Linked DNA regions of Canis lupus familiaris. The protein of the gene in region 3 purifies or fractionates together with the protein of the main gene of each other region. This does not show direct contact. Links are inferred from orthologs where the notes say so. Each region holds a gene or a part of one and is shown on either strand. Other genes may lie near its edges. The genes, in order: MTCL1, CEP350 and PPP2R1A.

Region 1 (3,746 bases), on a different chromosome or scaffold from region 3:
TCGTTTCCCAGAGTTAGGAGTCTCTCCTGTTCTGTCTCCCTCTCTGGTATTTCCCACTCATTTTCTCTCCTTTCAACCCTAGCAGCTCGTAATTCCTGCCCGTCCCTTTGCCTCCTGGCAAGGCCAAGCGTGGAGCACGGCTGGGCCTTACTCCTCTGCGTATTCCCCAACACCCGAAGCCTGCACTCGAGGATACCCGAACAGTGCTTCGCAGCGTGCACGGCGTTTCTCACATCTGCCCAGTTAATCCTCCCAACGCTCGGGTGGCCCGCAGTATGTTTAAATTACGCAGGCAACGGGACCGAGGCTTGGAAGGGTCGGGGGCCCGCGCTGGGCCCTCGGGGGCCGCTCCGGGACTCGCACGCGGGGCTCCGCGAGGGGACGGCACGCAGGGCTGGGCGCGCCTCGGGCTCGGGGTGCAGCCGACCCCGCCCCGGCCGGGCTGCAGCCCCCGCCTCACCGCCCCGGCCGCGTCCTCATCCTTCGAGAAGAGAAGACGGCGACTCCAAGTGGGGCGCGTCACGAGGGCTACAGGACACAATGCTCCCCGCCGCAGCCACGGACGCGAGTCCCCTCGCGGACCCCGAGCCCGGCGAGCTGCCGCCCCCGTTTCCGCAGCGGCGCCTCCTTCCCCGAGCTCCGGAGGCCGCGGGGCTGCCCGTCCTGACGTGGCCGCCGCCTCGGGCACCAGCCGACCCCTCACGGAGCGCTGGGCCTGCGGACACGGCGGCGGGAAGGCGGCGGCCCGCGGGGGGCGGTGGCACCTCCCGCGCGCACCCGGGGGGCCGCTCCCGTCTCGCCCGCCCGCTGCACCCCGGCGGCGGCCTCCCCTCCGCGGCCCTGCGCGCCGGCCCCGGAGCCTCGGAGGCCGCGAGGGCGCCCGCGCCAAGGCCCGGGAGCGCAGGCCCCGCCCCACCGCGGCGCCGGCGGCGGGAGGCGGGAGGCGGGAGGCGGGAGGCGGGGCGCGGGGCGCGGGAGGCGGGAGCGGGAGCGGGCGCGGGAGGCGGGGAGCGCGCGTGCAGTTCCTCTCCGCGCGGGCGGGGAGCTGGGCGGCCGTGGGCGGGGAGCGCGCCGCCGGCGGCCGGTGCCGGTGTCTGGGGATGCGAGCGGCGGGGAGCCGCGCCGCTGACCGGGTGAAGGCGAGCGGCGGTGACCTCAGCGAGGGGAGAGCCGGGCGGCGGCGGCGGCGGCGGCGGCGGCGGCCAGCCCCGCGGGGATCCGGGGCGCCGGGGGTGCGCGGGGCACGGCGGCGGCGCGGGAGCGCGGGGCGCAGACCGGGCGGGGCCGGGGGCCGGTGATGAGCGGGGCGCGCGGGGAGGCTGCACGCCGCCGCCGACGCCGCCGCCGCCGCCGCCCCGAGCATCTGCCCGCACAGCTGCCGCCCGCGGCCCGGGACCCGGCCATGGAGACGCTGAACGGCCTCGCGGGCGGGGGCGCCCCGGACGCGAAGCCGCTGCCGCCGGGGCAGCACCACCGCCACCACCACCTCCACCCGCTGGCCGAGCGTCGGCGGCTGCACCGCGCGCCCTCGCCCGCCAGACCCTTCCTCAAGGACCTGCACGGCCGCACCCCCGCGCCCGGCCCGGCCCCGGCCGCCCCCTCCTCGGGTCGAGCCCCGGCGCCCGCCGCCCCGCGCGCGCCCAGCCTCGCGGGCAAAGCACCGCCCTCGCCGGGCACCCCGGCCGCGCCCGGCCGCCTCTCTCGGCGCAGCGGCGGCGCCCCGGGCGCGAAGGACAAGCCGCCGCCGGGCGCCGGGGCCAGGGCAGCGGGCGGCGCCAAGGCCGCCCCGGGCCTCAGGAGGGCGGCGCGCACGGCGCCCGCGGAGCCGCTGCCCCGGGCGGGGAGGCCGCCGCCGCCGCCGCCGCCGCCCCCCGGGACCGAGCCGCCGCCCGCCGCCGCCAAGGGCCGCAGAGCCCGACGCGGCCCCGGCGCGCCCCCCGCCCGGGCCCCCGGGCCCCCGGGCCCCGCCGCCGCGATCCCCGCCGTGATCCTCGCCGTGACCTCCTCGGCCGGCCCCCCGGCTCCCGGGTCGCGCATCAGCCACACCGACAGCAGCTCCGACCTCTCCGACTGCCCCTCCGAGCCCCTGTCCGACGAGCAGCGCCTGCCCCCCGCCGCCAGTAGCGACGCCGAGTCCGGCACCGGCTCCAGCGACCGGGAACCGCCGCGGGGAGCCCCCACGACGAACCCCGCGGCGCCGCCCGAGCCCCCCGCGCTCCTCGCCGCGCCCCCCGCCCCCGGCGCCTGCCTCGGGGGTCGCAGCAGCCCGGCCGCGGGCCCCGCGGGGGCCCCGGGATCGGCTGTGGCCGAGGATGCCGGGGGGCGCGCGCCGCTCGAGCCAACGGGCCCCGGGACCCCCAAGGATCCCGGCCCGGGCGAGCAGACGCGGCTGGTGCCGGCGGCGGTGGAGGAGGAGCTGCTGCGGGAGATGGAGGAGCTGCGCTCCGAGAACGACTATCTCAAGGTGAGCGGCAGCGGCCCCGCCGCGGGTGTCCGGAGGCGACCCCCGAGGCCTGGGCGCCGGCGGGGACCCGCGAGCCCGGCCTGCCCGGCCCCGGCGCGACGCGCACGCTCTCCCCCGTCTGCCCTTCACTCTCCCGCCCCCGCGCACATGGGCTTCGGGAACTTAGAGCTAAAACTTCTGGAAGGAGCAGCGAGACCTGTGGGTCTGGCCAGGTTCTCCCCCCACTTGGCTTCTCTTGTTTCTGGAGTCTTGCTGCTGCCTGCTGACGCCTTTGCCCCTGTAGACGTGCTGGGGGAGAGGGTCACAGCTGACACCCCCACCCCCTCGCCTCTGGGGTCGGGCCGCCCCTAGCCGAGGAGCTCTGGTCCGGGCCTAGTGCAGGTGTGTGCAGTTCGCAGCCTGCTCTGGCGAGGCGGCGGATGTGCCAGATGCTTTTCCTGCGGTTAAAGAAGTGAGGCCCCCTCTGCTTCTCTAGCTGGGGCGGGGGAGGGGGAGCTCCCTGTTTTTGGCGATAAAACTTAAGTTCAGGGCTCCCATGAGTGTGTGTCCCGGGTTGAGGGGCAAGGGGTTGGCTGGTTGTCCAGCCAGTCGCCAGTCCTTTGTGGGCGACCATAAAAGCCCGTTTTTCGTGTCAGAAGAGGCCACTTGATTGCCCCTGCACGCCAGCACTTTCGAGGGAATTGCAACCTCTGCTGCCTTTGTCTGAGTCTTTTTCATGAGGTCTTGCTATTAAGGGCCTCTTGGTCTTGTTAGCTTTGGGGCACTCAATCCTACTTCCATTTACTCCTCCCAGGAGGAGGGCAGCTTGGGCCTGCCTGCAGAACAGAGGACTTAGTGTTGGGGTCTCGACAATTTGAAGTGACTCGAGACAAAATAAGGGGGATTGGTTTGGGGGCAATTACTTTATTATAGTCTTCAAGTTAGTAAATAACTGCAGCGGTACAAATCTTTTCATGCTTCTGTTAAGACTCTAATATGGATCTCCTCCTAAACCAGTGGATGGCGCTCCTCTATCTGGGTTATCTGATTCGTACTTTTTCTAAGCAAATGTTGGACCTACCCAAATGAGGCCCAGTTTTTGGCCAGCGGGACCAAGGGCATGGGCTTTTAAGGTGGTTAAGTGTGCCGTTCAAGCTGACATTAGAATAGGCTCGCTGCTGAGTTTTCTAAACCGAAATCTTGAATCAGGAGCTGTTCTCCCCAACTGACAGCCCAGTAGCTGTTTTGCCTGCAAAGAGGTAGCAGTGAGGCAGAGGAGAGGTGAGAACATAGTAGGAGTTTG
Region 2 (3,646 bases), on a different chromosome or scaffold from region 3:
CTTATTCTTTACTCTTTAGTTTCTCAAGATCTAGCAGGGATAAGAGACTAATAAAGAATTTAAAAAAAGAATTAAAATACAATGTCATACATACTAATATAATATATATAAAGTTCAACAGAGTGTGGATAGAAAACAATAAAGTCTGCTAGCCAAGGAAAATGGCTTTTGAGCTAGATCTTCAAGGTCTTCAAGATCAGATATGTAATTTGGAGTTTCCCAGGTACCTAAGGAAGAATAGGGGTCATGAAGGGCAAGGAAAAGAAATGTCATGCTTCCAAGCATAAAGTAACTGAGATATGCTGAAACTACTAACAGAAATGGGGAACCTAAGAAATGGATAGAGGGGAAGTGGAGGCAACAGATTATATATCACAAGTTGTTGCAGAAACCTGATGGTAAAAAAAAAAAAAAAAAAAAAGGAAAGGAACATGTGTAAGGTAGTAATAATAGATCTGTCTTACATTCGGTTTGTTTTTAACACTGGATAATTTATTTAGAATTAGAAGGAAATTCAGGGAAAGGTAAAACGAAAGACAGGAAGCCAGCAGAGTATGTCTGACAATAATAATGGGACTGAGATGAACTACAGAGTATACCTACCTAAAGGTATTCAAGTTCAAAAAATTTTTTAAGTTTATTTATGCTTGAAATTTGAAAGGTATTTACAACCTTAAATAAATCATATGAAACTTATTGGGAGGCACTGTGTAGAGTGATTAAAAGCACAGGTTTCTGGAATCAGACTGCTTAAGTTCAAATCCCTCTCCACCACTAATGTTTGGACATTTGAGAAAGTTAAATTCTAGGCCTCAATTGTCTTTTCTGTAAAATGGGAATGACTGGAGCACCTAACTCAAGAAATTACAAGAATTAAATAAGATACAAATGCAAAGTACTTCGATCAGTGCCTGGAAACTACAAGTACTCAATAAATGTTAGCTAACTTTATCAGTATTCCTATTCTTTCGAAGGAGGAAGAATGGGGTGAAAGGACCATGTGTATTAACCCATAATTGGGAAGTGATTTTTTATTTGTGTGTTCTCAAAGAAGGGTTTCAAAATCTTTCTCTTTCTAAAATGGTTAAAGTATTTAAAACCATATCATCTCAAAACCACCTCAAATTCCATGCATAATTTACTTTTACTTCATTGCAAACAATATATTACAGCAAGAAAAAGATTTTCTTAAGAAAACTTAAAAGTATGGGGTGCTTTGGTGGCTCAGTCAGTTGAGTGTCTGTCTTCAGCTCAGGTCGTGATCCCAGGAGCCCCACATTGGGCTCCCTGCTCAGTGGTCAGCCTGCTTCTCCCGCTCCCTCTGCCTACTGGTCTGCCTACTTGTGTTCTCTTCCACTCTCTCTCAAAGGAAAAGGAAAAGGAAAAGGAAAAGGAAAAGGAAAAGGAAAAGGAAAGGAAAGGAAAGGAAAGGAAAGGAAAGGAAAGGAAAGGGAAAGGAAAAGGAAAGGAAAACGAAAGGGAAAGGAAAGGGAAAGGAAAAAGAAAGGAAAAGGAAAAGGAAAGGAAAAGGAAAGGAAAGGACAGAACTTAAGGTAAAAAAGTCCCCAATCAGCAATCTAGCCCTTGTTCATACGTTCACACGCATATCCAAATATCAAAGTTACAATAATAAACTGGAATGAGTCACATGAAGAAATTCGGATTAGTAATACAGATATACCTTTTGAAAATTATTCACCACAAATACTTTAAAATATTAATTTCACTGTGATTTTCAACCAATAAAGTTTTATTGTGTGTTTAGTTCAGAGAAAGTAACAGTGCTTCCAACTGTAGGATCTCTGCAAGGACTTACATTTACACTGGATATAAAAAGACAGGTAAAAGGGTATGCAATAAGTATAGATGTACACCATGCTTAAATATCCACCAGAAGATATTAACCAATTTCTAAATAAACTTCTTGCTCAGTGAAGTAAGTCAGTCGGAGAAGGACAAACATTATATGTTCTCATTCATTTGGGGAATATAAATAATAGTGAAAGGGAATATAAGGGAAGGGAGAAGAAATGTGTGGGAAATATCAGAAAGGGAGACAGAACGTAAAGACTGCTAACTCTGGGAAACGAACTAGGGGTGGTAGAAGGGGAGGAGGGTGGGGGGTGGGAGTGAATGGGTGACGGGCACTGGGGGTTATTCTGTATGTTGGTAAATTGAACACCAATAAAAAATAAATAAAAAAAAATAAACTTCTTGCTCATGTACAAGGTCAACAAAATTCATTAAGCATGAACCACTATAGTAAATTTCACGGGAAAAGAGAACCTTTTTTTTTGGGGGGGGGGAAGAGAACCTTAATCATCTTTCATTCTCCCCTTCTTACCTTGCAAGAGGCTGTGGAGGCTCTGACAGAGACATGTCACTACTGGAAGATGCACTTAGGGGACGTTCCTGTACTTTGTTTTCTTTGTCAGATTCTCCAGAAGGCTGATACCCGGGTTTAGTCTAAGAGAAAAGGATATCAAAATTACGTGACTCCAATCACAAACATATACTCAGGGAGTACATAAGACAAATATTAAGTGAAATGTGGGGGCTTTTTCTCTTAAATAAAATCAGTTCATATTTAGTTTGTCTTACGCAGCCACTACAATTAACAGCAAAATTACATCTGATATTCAGGAAAGGCACCTAATACTAACTGCATAATCTAAAGGAAATAATACTCTTCTAAACCTCAGTTTTTTCACCTAGAAATACTAGTAGCATTTACCTTCTCAGGGCCATGAGGACTTTTTTTTTTTTTTTTTTTTTTTAATTTATGAGAGAGAGAGAGAGAGAGGCAGAGACCCAGGCAGAGGGAGAAGCAGGCTCCACCCAGGGAGCCCAATGCGGGACTCAATCCCAGGTGTCCAGGATCATGCCCTGGACTGAGGGCAGCGCTAAACCGCTGAGCCACCCGGGCTGCCCCAGGCCATGTGGATTTATTGAAAATTTAAAGCCTTTAAAACAGTCTGTGGTACACTCAATGTTATTTTTAAAAACAGCAGCAATACTCAAAAAATTACCAATAACATTAGGATCTCTAATTTCAGCACAGATCACAAAACTAGGCTTTTATTAACAATCTTTTTGCTTAGTAATACAGTGAAAACTAGGCAAGGATATAACAATAGCAATGATGAGAGGAACAGAGATCAGTAACAGTCATTCTGGGAAATGCTGAGCACTTGTTTTCAATTATGTTTATCAAAGTATTCTCCACATACAATAAATTTCATGAAAAGGTCAACATTATTACAAATATTGTCTGAACATCAGGAATGAGGGTAATGAAATGGCAAATAAGCCTTTTCTAATCACAAATGACTTCCCTCTGCATCTCTGACACTACTGTTACCTGTGTTTCCTGGGTAGCTTGGTGATGTGGCGGCTCTTCGAGCAAGGTCTTTTCTAGGAGCAGTTTGGAGTAAGTGTCTTGCAGTCGCCTAGTTACTGATGGCTCAGAGGGAGGCACATTTTTTACTTTAGTAAAGGCTTCTTTCTGTTTCCGATAGAGCTCCTGTAATCGTTTGTTCTTCTGCTCAGTGGCCTCCTTTTGAGCCTTTTTCTCTTCATTTTGCTTCCTCTTCCTTTCCTCCTGCTGTCTAACGATGTACTGCCGTACCTCATCTGTGTCATAGTG
Region 3 (3,646 bases):
CACAGCGAGGTCTGGACCACAACAGGATCACCCAGAAGACCAGGCTCAGCACAAATAAAAAAAATCAGTGTGGGGCCCAGAAAGATGCAGGTCTAGGAAACTTCAAGTACTGCTTTCCCACAATGAAAAGCTATACTGGGGGGCCTCTCTATGAAGGAGAGAGGGTAGAGTTCTCAAACCCAGAGAAGATACAGGGGAGGGGGGAGGTGTGAACCTCCTAAAATCACTGTACTTTTAGGAGAGGCTCTAGAGTTTTCATCAGATATTCAAAGGGATCCACAATTCCAAAAGGGTTAAAAGTTGTGGATACAGAATCAATCCTTGTGCTGTAGCTACATGGATCCCTATGAAATTAACTCCATTTCACCTCTACTGAGAACAAGGGCTGGGATTGGCTCTGACACACCTCTGGGTTCCCAAGGCCCATAGCTGGTACTCATGTTTGTGGAATGAACAAACTGCACAGTAGCCATTTTCCATTTCTCTTTGTCAAAATCCAGATCCACTGCCACCTCCTCCAGGAAGCCTTCACTGACAGCTCCCCCATCCCATCTGAAACAGGTGAAGGGCTTCCTCCAGGTTCTAAGGTCCCCCAGCTTCTCTCTTATCCAGCTCTAATCAGCCTGTAGAGCAACTGAGAGCCCCATGGGAGGGTAGTAGAAAGGAGCAGCAGTGGTTAAGAGGCAGGGGACTGGGTTCAAATCCTGACGGTCTCTTCTCAGCTCAGTCAATTCTCGTAAACCAGACCTTGAGCCTGTTTCCTCATCTGTGAACTGGGGCTGGTACGAGTATGTATATCACAGGGTCACTGAGGGACATGACAGGTGACTGTGTGGAAGGTACCTACAGGTACCAAGGAGCACTAGCATTCGGACCTGGGACCTGGCCTCTGGGTTTCCAGTGCTCCCTGGACCAGGGCCCTCAGGATGTGTCTGCCAGCTGTTGTGAACATCATGAACACCAGCCCCAGAGGCCTTGTGACTCTCCCTCAAAGTAAGTGTGGGATGACCCTGACCTTGTAAGGGAAGGACTCCAGGGTTCCAGTCCTGCTCCCCAGCAAGCCTGAGTCTTATACCACCTGAGGGCCCAAGGGACCCTTGTTAAAGCTACAGGATCAGCGTTTTCTGTTCCCAAGTCCTTTGAGGTGCTGCTGAAAGCCACAAATTCTCTCAGAAAAACTGATAAATGTTAGGGCTTGCAGAAAGTTTCATGGGACACACAGGACCCTTTTCAGGCTGGTCCCCAGACCTCATCATGTTCCTTGTGTTAAACAGCCCTAATCTGTGTAAAATGTAGGAAATGATCACATTTGCATACAATTGTCTACGTATACATACACATCAATTATACACGCACACACAGATGAAAGCTGACAGACTAGAATTTAATGACAATTATCCAATTTCTTCAGACCTAATACTGCTTGGAAGAAAAGTTACCATATCTGCTCAAACCCCAAATTCCTCCAATTTTAAGAAGTGCCATTATTTCACACAATGCAAGGAGGAAGAAGGCTGCTAATGAAAAGTGTTAAGGCATCATTAAGCGCAGATGTCAAATATAAAGCTGTATCTTTAGAAACCATGACATACAGAATTATTGGGGCAGGGGTGAGGGGAGGGAAGCAGGTTGTAGCAGTGGCCGCGGGCTCTGAGGAACAATGAAAACCAGGGGACTGGGAAAGCCCTGAGGCTTCTCCTTCCCAGATCACAGGACTGGACTCTTTCCCTGGTGACAATGGAATTCTCCTTTCTCTTCTCACAAATAGCAGTTACTATTAATATCTGACCCATCTTTGTGTCCCTAGCCATCACCAAGCACAGGGGTGCATAGGCAGGCACCTAGAATCCCAACTCTGCTACTGACTGTGAGGCCTTGACCAAGACACTTAACCTCTCAGATGCCCAGTGGCTCATCTACAAAATAGAAATGTCTCTACCCCAAAGGGTGGACATGACTTCAAAACATACAGCTTAATGACACTGGCAGCTAACACCTGATGGTACTTGCCATGTGCCAACGGCTTAAATTAATTTTTTGGGGGGGCTTAAATTAATTATAAAGATGTTTTAATGACTCCCATTTTACGGATGAGTAAAGTTTAACAGAGAGGTTAAGTAACTCTTACAAGTCACACAGCAAAGAAGTGGTAGTACTCAGATGGCTTCCACACCCAGAGCCCTATATGTACAGTGCCAGGTAGGGCCTGGCACTGGTCAGGCATACCCAGCTAACAGGAAGGTAAACAAGTACATCTTTGGTATTGCTATATGAATGCCACTACTAATCTGCTGGATTAAAGAGAATGTCCAAGGCTTGCCTGTTCCTTGAAGGTGACCCCCAAACGGGTGGGCAAGGGGACCTCCCTGCCTCCCAGACTCACCAGCAGGCAGTGGACGTACTCGGGGCCTCCCACCAGCGTGGTGAAGGTTCCCAGCTGTTCCGCCAGGGCCAAGAGGACCTCATCCTCATCGTAGATGGTATCTGGGGAACCAAGACAGACTCTGTTATAGCCCCACCCCAAAGCTGACCCAAGATTCTGGGTAACCCAAGCTGGGAGCAAGCAGGCTCCATTCTGTAAGCACTCAGTCTCTCCACCCTCTACTTGAGCTGGTACACAGATCGGAGATGCAGACTTGGGTCAGGAACAGAGCACCAAAGGCCGCCTTCTGCCCTTCACTAGGTGAGGGACACTGGGGGAGTGAAACCAGTCTGCAAACCCACTTCTGCACCTGCACGCACTTCTCTGAGGGAGAATTACAGAGGAGCACACAAAACCATGCATATAGGCACAGAGCCTGGTCAATGGGGGCTTTTCGCTTTGGTTCAGCTTCTTTCTTCAGCACTGCCCTCTATGCCAAGAATTAATTTTTCTCTTTAGCCTGAGAAATTCTCCATCCTTCTAGACTCAGTTCAGATTTCCTGACCAGACCAGAGCACATCCTTTCTCTACACTCCCCTCAACCCCAAGTCACCTTTATGAGAGTCCTTATATTTGGAGTCCAGGACTGGCTCTTCTCTGTACCCCAGTTTCTGCTAGAGATGAGCACAGTAGTTCAGTCCAGGTGTGCTAAAAGAACGGATGACTATGTAAAGACAGAGCTGCTGAGTCCTAATGCTCAACCCAAAGGCCTTTTTCAACTGCTGACCCATATGGCAGAAGATGCTTCCAGTAGGAACTGCTGACTGCTATGGCAGAAGACGCTAGCATCCCTGGCCTCTATGCTGGCATTTCAACTTTCTGAGATTAAGCCAAGCATACAGCAACCCAGCCAGGCATCCCAGGCCCCCCTGCAGCTGGAATGCCAAGTGACCATGCTCTGGTCAATGCTACTTCTATTCACACGTTCAAGCTCTGAGTCGCTTCCTCACCACCACCCTCTAAGCTCTTGGGGCTGTCATCATCTTCCTCATCTTGGGGTGGTTCTCTGCTCTCTCTTGGCTGAGTGTATGGCCATTCACTTCACCTGTGAGTCTGTTTTCTCACCCTACATCCCAACAGAGCTGTGTGAAACCAAAGTGAAGTGATGTTTTCTATGAGGAGCTCAGCATGGGGCCTGGCCCAAGTCAGTGCTTCAGAGAACACAGGCTAGCATGGCTCCAGGGCCACCAGGCCTGGGTCCTTCCTAGCCTCAGTTTCCCTGGC

What was found.
Region 1: the proteins of PPP2R1A (region 3) and MTCL1 purify together in Homo sapiens (co-immunoprecipitation; 3 studies listed by BioGRID and IntAct, with this or other methods). This does not show direct contact. The link is inferred for Canis lupus familiaris from reciprocal best matches to the Homo sapiens genes PPP2R1A and MTCL1.
Region 2: the proteins of PPP2R1A (region 3) and CEP350 purify together in Homo sapiens (affinity purification with mass spectrometry; 4 studies listed by BioGRID and IntAct, with this or other methods). This does not show direct contact. The link is inferred for Canis lupus familiaris from reciprocal best matches to the Homo sapiens genes PPP2R1A and CEP350.

Annotation. Positions count from the first base shown.
Region 1 is NC_049228.1:74,915,606-74,919,351, forward strand, and holds the start of MTCL1 (microtubule cross-linking factor 1), read left to right. Parts: upstream 1-1,402; coding exon 1,403-2,464; intron 2,465-3,746. UniProt on the Homo sapiens protein: Microtubule-associated factor involved in the late phase of epithelial polarization and microtubule dynamics regulation.
Region 2 is NC_049228.1:13,444,810-13,448,455, reverse strand, and holds part of CEP350 (centrosome-associated protein 350), read right to left. Parts: coding exon 3,362-3,646; intron 2,467-3,361; coding exon 2,345-2,466; intron 1-2,344. UniProt on the Homo sapiens protein: Plays an essential role in centriole growth by stabilizing a procentriolar seed composed of at least, SASS6 and CPAP. Required for anchoring microtubules to the centrosomes and for the integrity of the microtubule network.
Region 3 is NC_049222.1:105,616,363-105,620,008, forward strand, and holds part of PPP2R1A (serine/threonine-protein phosphatase 2A 65 kDa regulatory subunit A alpha isoform), read right to left. Parts: intron 2,485-3,646; coding exon 2,384-2,484; intron 1-2,383. UniProt on the Homo sapiens protein: The PR65 subunit of protein phosphatase 2A serves as a scaffolding molecule to coordinate the assembly of the catalytic subunit and a variable regulatory B subunit.